Caenorhabditis elegans: one gene and its partner. The protein of the gene in region 2 interacts with the protein of the main gene of each other region in a pairwise test. Each region holds a gene or a part of one and is shown on either strand. Other genes may lie near its edges.

Region 1 (4,426 bases), on a different chromosome or scaffold from region 2:
CTTGCCACAATGTACAGAAAGATGGCAGAATTCGATGAGGACCTATCACCAGTTTTGCTCATCATCAGAGACACCAAGGAACACGTCTTCGGAGCTGTCGTCTCGTCAGCCATCAGACCAAATGATCATTTCTTTGGAACTGGTGACAGTTGTTTATTGTGGAGATTCACAGGAGAAGTGCCTCACACTCGGTAATTTAATTTCTCATAGAACTTTATATACTAATTTTTTAAAAATGTTTTCAGCGAACTTCGCCAATACAACTGGACGGGTGATAATCAGTACTTTGTAAACGCCGCCAAGGATTCCTTATCCATTGGAGCTGGTTCTGGAAGAAATGGATTATGGCTTGATGGTAAGTTTATTTTTACGAAAATTGTCGGCATGATCTTTATCATTATTTTTTCAGCTGACCTCAATCATGGAAGCTCGCAAAAATGTGAAACGTTTGACAATGAACCATTATGTGGAGATGATCAGGATTTCATTATTCAATTCATTGAGGCTTATGGATTCAGAATGTAATGTGTGTATATTGTTGAATAGATTCAATACAAAAAGGCCCCAAAAGTCAATATATTCCCTTTAAGTTGTTTTTTATCATGACACAAACATACCACCATTTTCTTGGTGCCCATCTTTCCCATCCATGCTCCATCAAATTGTAAAACGCATTTGTTTCCTTCCCCCGACACAAAGAACTAATTCTTGTTGCCCCTCCACACCGATTTTATGTGTATATTCATTCCCCGTATATTTATTCCTTTAAACACACACACACCCTCATGATAATTTGTGTTAGGCATAGTCTTCTCATATTTCCCCCACCCCGATTTGACACATGCTCCCGCAGTGATATTTTTGTCCCCCAATTTTCAATTGTTTCATTTGAGTCTACTGGTATTGTGAAACTAGTTGATTTTCCTCACACACAACACAAACACGTCAGTCAGTTACAGTACTCATCTCAATTTTTGTGAGATGGAAAGTATAAAGTAATAAACCTTAAACGAAATATTCAGTTGTTTTCAAATATAAAAATGAGCGCTTTAAATATTGGAAACATTAATTTTTATTGTTTTTTCACAAGATTTTTGCACGCCTTCTTAAAGGCACACGAATTTATTCAAATGGGTCTCGGTGCGCAAAAGTTTATGGAAGTCTTTTTTGAATACTTGAGGCTGCCTCTTCGTTTTTTTTCTTGCATTTCTCAATTAGTTTATTTCATTTTAAGAAAATTTTCACAGAAAAATGAAGGGTATATTCATTGAGAAATGAGAGCCTCAAAAATAAAAACTACCATAAACTTTTCTTGCGCCGAGACCCATCTGAATAAATCCGTGCGTCTTTAAAAAAGCTCGAGAATCTTGAGAAATGATGGTACCGTAAGCTGGTTCTATGAACTTTTTAATACCGCAGAGGCACCGTAAAACTTGAAACAATTGTATGCTGATTACGAGAAATTTCATTTTATGAGTCCACATAACGAGGGCTATGCAATTGAGAACGAAACATTGGTAAAATTCAAGATAACAATAATATACAGACTAGATACAAATGTGGGAATGTGGGGGTGAGTTTTGAAAGCCTGTGAATACAACATTTTGGGGTCGGACTCGAGAAGAAAAAGAACGACAAAAATGGGGAAAATTATTGATGATGTCCTTGGGACTGCACCAGGTTATTGGACTTGATTATATAATCCATAAGTAAAAAATAGAAAGTACATGTTAGTCAAGATCAGAAATTTCGACGAGAGAAACTAGTGATGATGGGAGGAGAGCTGCTGAATCCGCTGGAATTGGCTTTCGAAATATTGTGCCAATTGAGCCGTAGAATTGTATCCAGATACGTCCAAACGGGTGGCACGAGCAAACGCACGAACGAGATCTGATTGACGGATTGGTAGACTCTGATTGAGATCCATGCTTCGATCTGTCGACCCCTGAGGCACGAAGAGTGAATGATTGTGTGCGGCAGCATTCCTTGCTGGTGATTTGGATGAAGTATTAGCGTGAGCTCCACTTGCTAGCTTCGCGGCATTCCCATCGACAATTTTGTGGATGAACTGGCATCTGGTTCCGTATTTGCAGTTTCCAGTCATCGAGAACTTGTCGCAAAGAACCGTCTTGTACTTGGGATGATTTCTCCCACGAGGCTGAAAATTCCAGTCATAAAATAAGAAATTTGTAGGATCAACGATTACTTACGTTCATTGGAAGCCGAAGCTCATGGACGCCGTGAGCAAATCTGCACTGATCACCGTATGAGCATGCCTGACTGCGTTTGTAAGCATCACACAGAGCCGTCTTGAATGCATCTTCCTTTCTCCTTTGACGCATCATTTCTTCACGAAGGTCATCGGGAACTGTGCAAGGATCACGATTGGCCAACGATTGTTCAGAAGTTGGCTGTGAAGCCGAATTCTGCGTCTCCTTATCTTGTTTCATGAACGGTTGGAAGTCTTGAGAAAATACATTCTCTTGATCATATGCTTCGGGGGATGCTGACTGATGTGAAAGCGATCGAGTAAAATCGCTGTGGGAGTCAAGGATTTCCTTTTTGAACACCATGATTGCTTCACCGCTCAGGAAATCGTTGTCAGCCATTTTGAATCTAGAAAAATAAATTTACAAACTGTGATGATGATGGAAAAAGAAGAGAATATAAATCAAGAAAACTTGGGAGCACCGGCAGAAAAGAAAATAAAAAGGAAAAAAATCCTTGAAATGGAACATCTGAATGAAATGAACAAAGAGTGAGCGAAAAAATTTACTTATCAAAAATTCGCGGAAACTAAAAAGTAAAAATTAAAAAATACCGCTCGAAATCATGATCAAATTTTGAGAAATTTTGAAAAAAAAAACTTGAATTTTCGCAATAGAGCGTGTTCGCATCGCCGTGTTGGATTTCATGGTAGCACAGAAACTAGATGGCTTGGTTTATGATACTCAGTCTGAAAACCTATATTGGCTGCTATCTCGAAAACTAACCCCAAATTTGAATTTGCGATGCATATGAAAAATGGCCGCAAGAAAATTCTCTATCTTTTCTATTGAAAATTTTTTTGATTGAAAATTTCCTAACCGGTCAAATTTGGGTTTGTTCGGTAGAGCGCATTTGCACTCATCTAGCTGCTGTACCACCGTGATTTTCCATTTCTACATTTTCCACGTTCTGTGTTTGTCCTCATTTTAAAAGTTAATTTTCTTTGATTCAGTTTCAAAATGGTATTTGGGGAGAATCAGGATCTCATTCGCACTCATTTTCAAAAAGAAGCCGACAAAGTTCGAGCAATGAAAACCAATTGGGGACTTTTCACGAGGTATATTTACTATCTATCTTCCATATTACGTAGTAATTTTTCAGAACAAGAATGATTGCTCAAAGTGATTACGACTTTATCGTGACTTATCAACAAGCAGAAAACGAGGCAGAACGGAGCACAGTACTCTCGGTTTTCAAGGAAAAGGCTGTGTACGCTTTTGTTCATCTGATGTCTCAGGTGAAATCATATTTCATAAGCCTATTTCGAAATTATTAGTTTCTTTTTTTCAGATTTCGAAAGATGATTACGTCAGGTACACTCTAACGCTGATCGATGATATGCTCCGCGAAGACGTCACAAGAACAATTATTTTTGAAGACGTTGCAGTTCTTCTGAAAAGATCTCCCTTTTCTTTTTTCATGGGTCTTCTCCATCGTCAAGATCAATACATTGTACATATTACATTCTCGATTCTCACAAAAATGGCTGTTTTTGGAAATATAAAGTTGGATACGCTTGAGATACATTAATTAATTCTAACTATTTCAGATTATCTGGAGACGAACTTGACTATTGCATGGGATCTTTGAAAGAGGCGATGAATAGAGGAACAAACAACGACTACATTGTTACAGCAGTTAGATGCATGCAAACTTTATTCAGATTCGATCCATATCGAGTTTCATTTGTCAACATCAATGGCTACGACTCACTGACTCATGCTCTATATTCGACTCGAAAATGCGGGTTTCAAATTCAGTACCAAATAATTTTCTGCATGTGGCTTCTCACTTTCAACGGACATGCTGCAGAAGTGGCTTTGTCTGGGAATCTTATTCAAACGATATCTGGAATTCTGGGCAATTGTCAAAAGGAAAAAGTAATCAGAATTGTAGTATCCACACTGCGGAACCTTATCACTTCAAATCAGGATGTTTACATGAAAAAGCAAGCTGCTCTTCAAATGATTCAAAATCGTATTCCGACTAAACTGGATCATCTGGAGAATCGAAAATTTACTGATGTGGACCTTGTGGTAATTTATTAGTGAAAGACTTCATCGAACTATAAGTTTGCAGGAAGATATGGTATATCTCCAGACTGAACTCAAAAAAGTTGTCCAAGTGCTGACATCTTTCGATGAATACGAAAATGAAC
Region 2 (6,107 bases):
CGTTCGTAAAGTCACGGATATCGTTGTAGAGACGAATGAGACGGGCTTGAAGACTCCGACGGAGAAATTCCCTCTTGTTGGACGTCGCCCAGCCGATGCAGTTCGTCAAGAGATCGATCTTCTCTTTCTTTCCATGATCAAGCGCAGGCCCGACTCCTTGATCAATCGTAAGCGCATGTTCCACGATATCTCTTATCAATTTACTTGCTCGAGCTTTTCCAACAAGATCGTAGAAGCTACGAATGGATTCGACGAGTGTTCGGATTCCAGTAATATCCTTTTCCTTAGCAAGTTGCCTCGAGTAAGACAGGATAAGATCCTCGCATCGCTTTACTTCTGCCTCCGATGACTTCGCAGTTTGGGCAGATACTGAAAATATTTAATTCAACCGTTTTTTAAATACTGAAAACATAAAACATGCTAAAATTCGCGTTTATTTGATTGAAAATCAAGAAACGATTCAAAGAATAAAAATACATGTGATACCGTAATCTTAAAGGCGCAGGACGTTTAATGGATGGGTCTCGACGCGGCAATGTTTTTCAAGCGGGAATTCAAAGACAATCTGCCCAATTTTCCATGTTCCTCGCGAGAAATCTCTAAATCTCACATTCCTACGTCGCCGCAAGCTTTCTTGTTTTGTTCCGCATAAAAACATTCATCTCTATCAAAGCCAATCAATCCGCCCGCGGTCCGCGTTCAGCTATTTTCCCGTTCATCTCTAGCCAGCGACATTGTTCATCCTATTCTCTCGCGCTCACTTGCTTCTCCGTTTTACTAGTTAATAAGAAACAAACAAACCTTCACTTTGTACAGCTTTCAGAGTGACTGGAGTAGCAGACATCTCAATTTTTTCTAATGCTCGCAAAAATAAATGAAAATAAATTAATTTTGATTCTTCATCGAGATTCGTTTCGATGACGTGGCACGTGACCTCAGAGGTCACGTGAAAAAACAATATAAATAAAACGTTTATTTTTACACGAAAATTATCTATTGAGCATAATTCGACGAGAGTTTCTCATTGAAGACGGAATCAAATTTTGCTGAAAATAAAAAAAAATAATGAAAATTGTTTGGCTTTTGGCTGCTTCTTACATTTGTGTCAACTTCCTTCTCTCCACTGTCCTTGGATTTTTGCTTTCTCTGCAACATAGGAAAATATTTACACTTTTCATGTTTTTATGTTTCCAACCTCCTGACAATCGTCTTTAGTGCTAATCATTTTACAAGTACACCCGCGATTCTTATGGGCGTCTCGTGTTCTCGGCGAGCCTGGCGAACGAACCATGTGGAAAATGTTCGGGTTTCGTCTGTTAGACACCTGCTTCACATCCGTTCCATTTTGATTTCTCCACCATGTCCATCCCCAATAAACCAAGCTCGCAACGACTGACAAGGAAAGAACCACTTTTTCGGAACTACGGATTTCCATTCTGCAATCCGATTAGTTATCGCTTATTTTCAATCTCCTCTCACCTTAGAATATTCATTTGAATGATTCAAATTCAGCAAAAATGATAGCAATACATTTTTTTAAAAACTGAACTATACTTTTTTTAATCGTTTATATTTTTAAAAACGTTTCACGTTTCTATTTTAATCTTAATTCTACTCTCTTCTGTTCAAAAATATGTATCTAATTACAGAGTGGACACAATGAGTGAGTGTTCCGCGAGTACCAGTCAGTTATCTACTTTCTGTGTAAATGAGATACCATGGAAGTTGGTTCCACAGGTAAAAATCTTGAAAACCACTCAGTTTCGACAAAACAAAAATTTCAGACTTGCGACGAATTCAGCGAATACGAGTTCATAGATGAAAAATATAGGTGAGGATCTCTAGATATATATCTATTAAATTTTATAACCTTTTCAGGCGCCTTTCTGACGTAGAATCGTTTGTCTGGAAGTGGTCGCCGTGTGGAAGATATGGAATTGATCTTCCGGGCGGTCGTGACGTCATTAACCAACAACTACGTGACCGTATGGCTGTATTCGATCTACATACGAACAAATGGACCCTATACACCATGGACCGTGGTGCTTTCGAAATTCCACGAGTTTGCTTTCTCTACTGGGCACGAAACGATATAATCGGCACAATAACCCTTGTAGTAAGTGTCCGATCTACCATACCTAATCCAAAAAATAAAATTTCAGAAAGACTATGAAGCAGGACCGGATGATGAAATTCCATTGAAATTCAAGCAATCATTCTTCTACGTATCTCACGAAACACAGACATTAGTGTACTCTGGTTCATGCAAGTACCGTACGAATAAAACAATCGTAGCATCTTATTGGTACCATATTTTCGAAAATCGACGTGGCGAACCGTTCATTGATCACAATAACTACCTGTGGTTGGTATTCTCAAACGGAGTGGATTCTCTGATTCTTCTTCCATTTATTCCAACTTCAACGTGTTTCAAAGCGAAATGTGTATCATTTGATATGAACGATATCGTCAGTCAATTCACTGGTATTCGCGTATTTCTCGATCCATTTGTATCATCTCACTACGTGCCATGGGTCTACAGAAATGACGTTAATTTTTTCATTAGGATTGATTCGCATTCATTTATCGAGGAGCAAAACCGGGACTATGGTCTAGATCCGCAAATTGATAACCCGGAGACGAAACCGCACAGAGGAGTATTTCAACTTCGTGTGAATTTGAAAGATGTCATCGAAAAGGGCGAAAAAGATGCGATTCATGCAGTTAATCCTGAAACAATAGAGACAAGATTCAATCGAGGTGACATTGAACTATGGCGAAAAATCAGCGATGAGCTCCGTCAAGAACATCAGAGCATAGCACAGCATGGCAAAATGGTTGTAGTACAACGATGGTCACACTTTACTGTTGATATGGGGCTCAGCAAGAAAATGAGAACCGTAGGATATGAAAATATTATTTGTTGATAGTTTATTAATTTAATTTCAGCGTGTTGCCGATTTGGACGCCCGTGATTACTGTTGCAGCCATAAGCCACGTAATTCGTCATTCTGCTGTATTGACTTGGACAGCGAGCGAATCAAGGCTGTGGATGCTCTCATTCTTGGGTACAAATTAATCTATTTTTTTCCTAAGTATTTTTTTTTCAGAACTGACGTGGTTCTTCCCCATCCTAGTGGCTCTGTATTCCTATTTCGATACAAGGAAAATTATGGTAATCCCTCCACCAAATAGACGTTTTCTTCATCGTAATTTTTCAGGGATGAGTTATTGCGAGCTTCCATTCTTCCAGCCACTTTCATTGAAGCTAAAATGTATTCAAGTTCTCAAGGAATCTGTCGAAATCGACCCAAGTTACTATAGAATCAAATGCTGCCTTAAAATGCAAGAAGAACTTGAAAAAGAAACTGCCGAAAATTTGTGCACGATAAATATTCAACAATAATAATTTCAAAAAACTAAGTAAACCCCCTTATTAGCATGACACTCCCCCCACCCCCTCTGATAATTATTTTGTATTTATATTCTATAATTCGTAATTATTATTTTTAACTAATAATTCCTTTATTTTTTAAACACATTCCCCCGAGTGATCTGATCACCAAATTTAGAATTTTAATGATTTATTAAACCCTCACCCCTAATTTAATACCGCCTGCAATTTTCTGACGCTTCCTGCTATTTGTAATGATATTACTTTTCATTTTTCCACCTGTTCAATTTTGTCAATACAGACTTATTCGATTCATTTACGGTACACTTGAGCACGATACATTTGAAACAGGCAATAGATTCGATTTAAATTTTGATGAGCGATGAAGAGGAAGGCAACAACGGGAACATAAGCGTGGAGTTGAGAGAAACAGTTGCTAATTTTTGAAAACCCATATTTGGAAAATAAATAATAAATTTGGTTGATGAAAAGCTGCGGATTGGATTTAACACGGACATTGACGGCCTTGGCTCTCTTCCGCGTCTTTAGGAGGATTCATGATAACGATGTTGGCTGAAAAAATTAAAATAAATCACTAAAATGTTTGATAAGAATCTTACGCTGCTCAGGCGTCTCCTCTTGGACAATTCCTGGAAGTGCCGTAGCGATTTTGCGGAAGAGCTGAAAAGGCTTATTTTTACTTTAATTGTCTGAAAATTTTCAGACGAATTTCAAAAATAAGTACCTGTTTGACGTTGTAGCCAGCTTTTGCAGAAGTTTCAATGAACATCACATTCAAATCGCGAGCCTTCTTTTCTCCATCCTCCGTCGAAACTTGTCTGAATTTCTTGTTGTTTGGAATAATTTTAGAGTGCATGTTCGTTACCTTTTATCAGCCAAATCGGTTTTATTTCCGACGAGCACGATAATGACGTCACATCCACGTTCGTTGCGAACATCATCAACCCACTTTGTTGTTTGATGGAAGGAATTGGCATCTGAAAAATTATTAAAATAATTTAAAATCTCAGATTCTAGTAGAACTCACTAGTAATATCATACACGACAACGGCAACACTCGAATCACGAATGTAAGATGGAATCAAAGATCGGAAACGTTCCTGGCCAGCGGTATCCCACAATTGAAGGCGAATCTGACAAGGTAATTAATTTAGTTTCAATTTTCTACATGGTATCTTACGGTTCTGTCTTCAAGATACATAGTCTTGCTGAGAAAGTCAATTCCAATGGTGGCTTGATAGGTGTTGTCAAACGAATCATACATGAATCTGGTGATGATAGAAGTTTTTCCCACTGAATATAAGTTTTTTTGAAACTAAAACGGCCCTCGGAATCACTTACCACTCTGTTCGCCGAGAAAAACGAGCTTAAACTTTTTGAGAGCGTTATTTGTGAAATCAGCCATCTGTAACTGAAATTATTTGTTTGAAGAGGAATTACAAAACAAGAACAAGGTACATCAAACGTTTCTTAAAAAATAATATGAAGGTTTCCAAATTTGGCTGTTTAAAGATTCCAAGAGCAAGAAAATTAAAAATTAAAAAAAAATCGGTGAGAAACACGAAACTTGGCGTCAAATTGCAGAATTCTGCATTTCTGCGTAAAATTTAGAGACCCGAAGGAGACCCGAAGAACTCGGAGGATGTCCAACTGGGGGGATTACCAACTCGGGGGATTGGCCCCGCCCACATAACCGTGGCTTGCAATACGCCCATTTCTGCAACTGCCGCACGGTTTTAAAACTGTATTTTTATCAATAGAGTGAGGATTAACAAGAAAAAATGATTTTAAAACCGTGCGGCAGTTGCAGAAATGGGCGTATTGCAAGCCACGGTTCTGTGGGCGGGGCCAATCCCCCGAGTTGGTAATCCCCCCAATTGGACATCCCCCGAGTTCTTCGGGTCTCAAAACTTAGTGTATTTTAGAGTCGATGCGATTCGTGGGATGAGCTTCGTTCGGAGACACAGGAACGTGAACAAATATATCAAGATTTTAACAATTTTTAGAGCGGAAACTCGAAAAAAAAATAAACATGACAGTCAATAGTTTGTTTGCTTAAAAAGTTCTACTTTTTACTCACGTTTCTCAGTTTTGGAACGAAGCCCCGCCTTTAAATTTCTGAGTTTAAAAGGTACCGCCCCCAAACGTTGGGTCTCGTTAGGTATTGGTAGCAAAACCGTAAGATTTCACTCGGTTTGAATCATTTTTAGTCTTTTTTGTTATGTTTTCATGTTTAAAGATATTTATGCCAAAATAATGTTAATAAAATAATTTTCATTCGGATATTAATTTTATCTCATATCTCATTAATTTCGACATAAAAATAGAAACTCTTAACATGTTAGGCATAACATAGAAAAAGAAAAAAAATTGAAAACGTTTAGTTTACGGTTTTCTACAGTACCTAACGAGACCCAAAATATGTGGGCGGAGCGTTTTAATTTGGCGTTGCAGCACGATTAAACTTTTATTTCAAAACGCAAATTTTTTTCTGTTAGGAATATGAAACTAAAGAAAAAGTGTTTCTTATCAAAAATGCATGATGATTACTCATCGATTGTACACGTATATCAATCGATGCACTGAACATGTTCATGAAAGTTTCCGAATAAACTAATGAATTACAGAAAAATTAACATGTCGAGAACCTAAGTGTTCGAAGTGGTCCACATGAAATGGCACCCCAAAAGGC

What was found.
Region 1: the proteins of zif-1 (region 2) and pos-1 interact in a two-hybrid assay, tested with the Caenorhabditis elegans proteins (one study listed by BioGRID).

The regions. Positions count from the first base shown.
Region 1 is NC_003283.11:8,412,277-8,416,702, reverse strand, and holds pos-1 (RNA-binding protein pos-1), read right to left. Parts: upstream 2,619-4,426; 5' UTR 2,610-2,618; coding exon 2,211-2,609; intron 2,159-2,210; coding exon 1,763-2,158; 3' UTR 1,449-1,762; downstream 1-1,448. Other genes in the region: lmd-3 (Oxidation resistance protein 1), read left to right, coding at 1-191, 246-355, 410-525; vha-18 (putative V-type proton ATPase subunit H 1), read left to right, coding at 3,228-3,325, 3,370-3,505, 3,559-3,773, 3,818-4,304, 4,348-4,426. UniProt on the Caenorhabditis elegans protein: RNA-binding protein that coordinates cell fate specification and differentiation during early embryogenesis.
Region 2 is NC_003281.10:9,001,130-9,007,236, forward strand, and holds zif-1 (Zinc finger-interacting factor 1), read left to right. Parts: upstream 1-1,649; 5' UTR 1,650-1,659; coding exon 1,660-1,737; intron 1,738-1,784; coding exon 1,785-1,831; intron 1,832-1,878; coding exon 1,879-2,116; intron 2,117-2,162; coding exon 2,163-2,900; intron 2,901-2,949; coding exon 2,950-3,068; intron 3,069-3,110; coding exon 3,111-3,175; intron 3,176-3,221; coding exon 3,222-3,406; 3' UTR 3,407-3,710; downstream 3,711-6,107. Other genes in the region: putative 26S proteasome regulatory subunit rpn-6.2, read right to left, coding at 1-369, 802-844; F59B2.15 (uncharacterized protein), read right to left, coding at 990-1,046, 1,099-1,146, 1,196-1,436, 1,480-1,493; Ras-related protein rab-6.1, read right to left, coding at 3,900-3,967, 4,015-4,075, 4,140-4,233, 4,281-4,392, 4,443-4,548, 4,596-4,708, 4,757-4,820.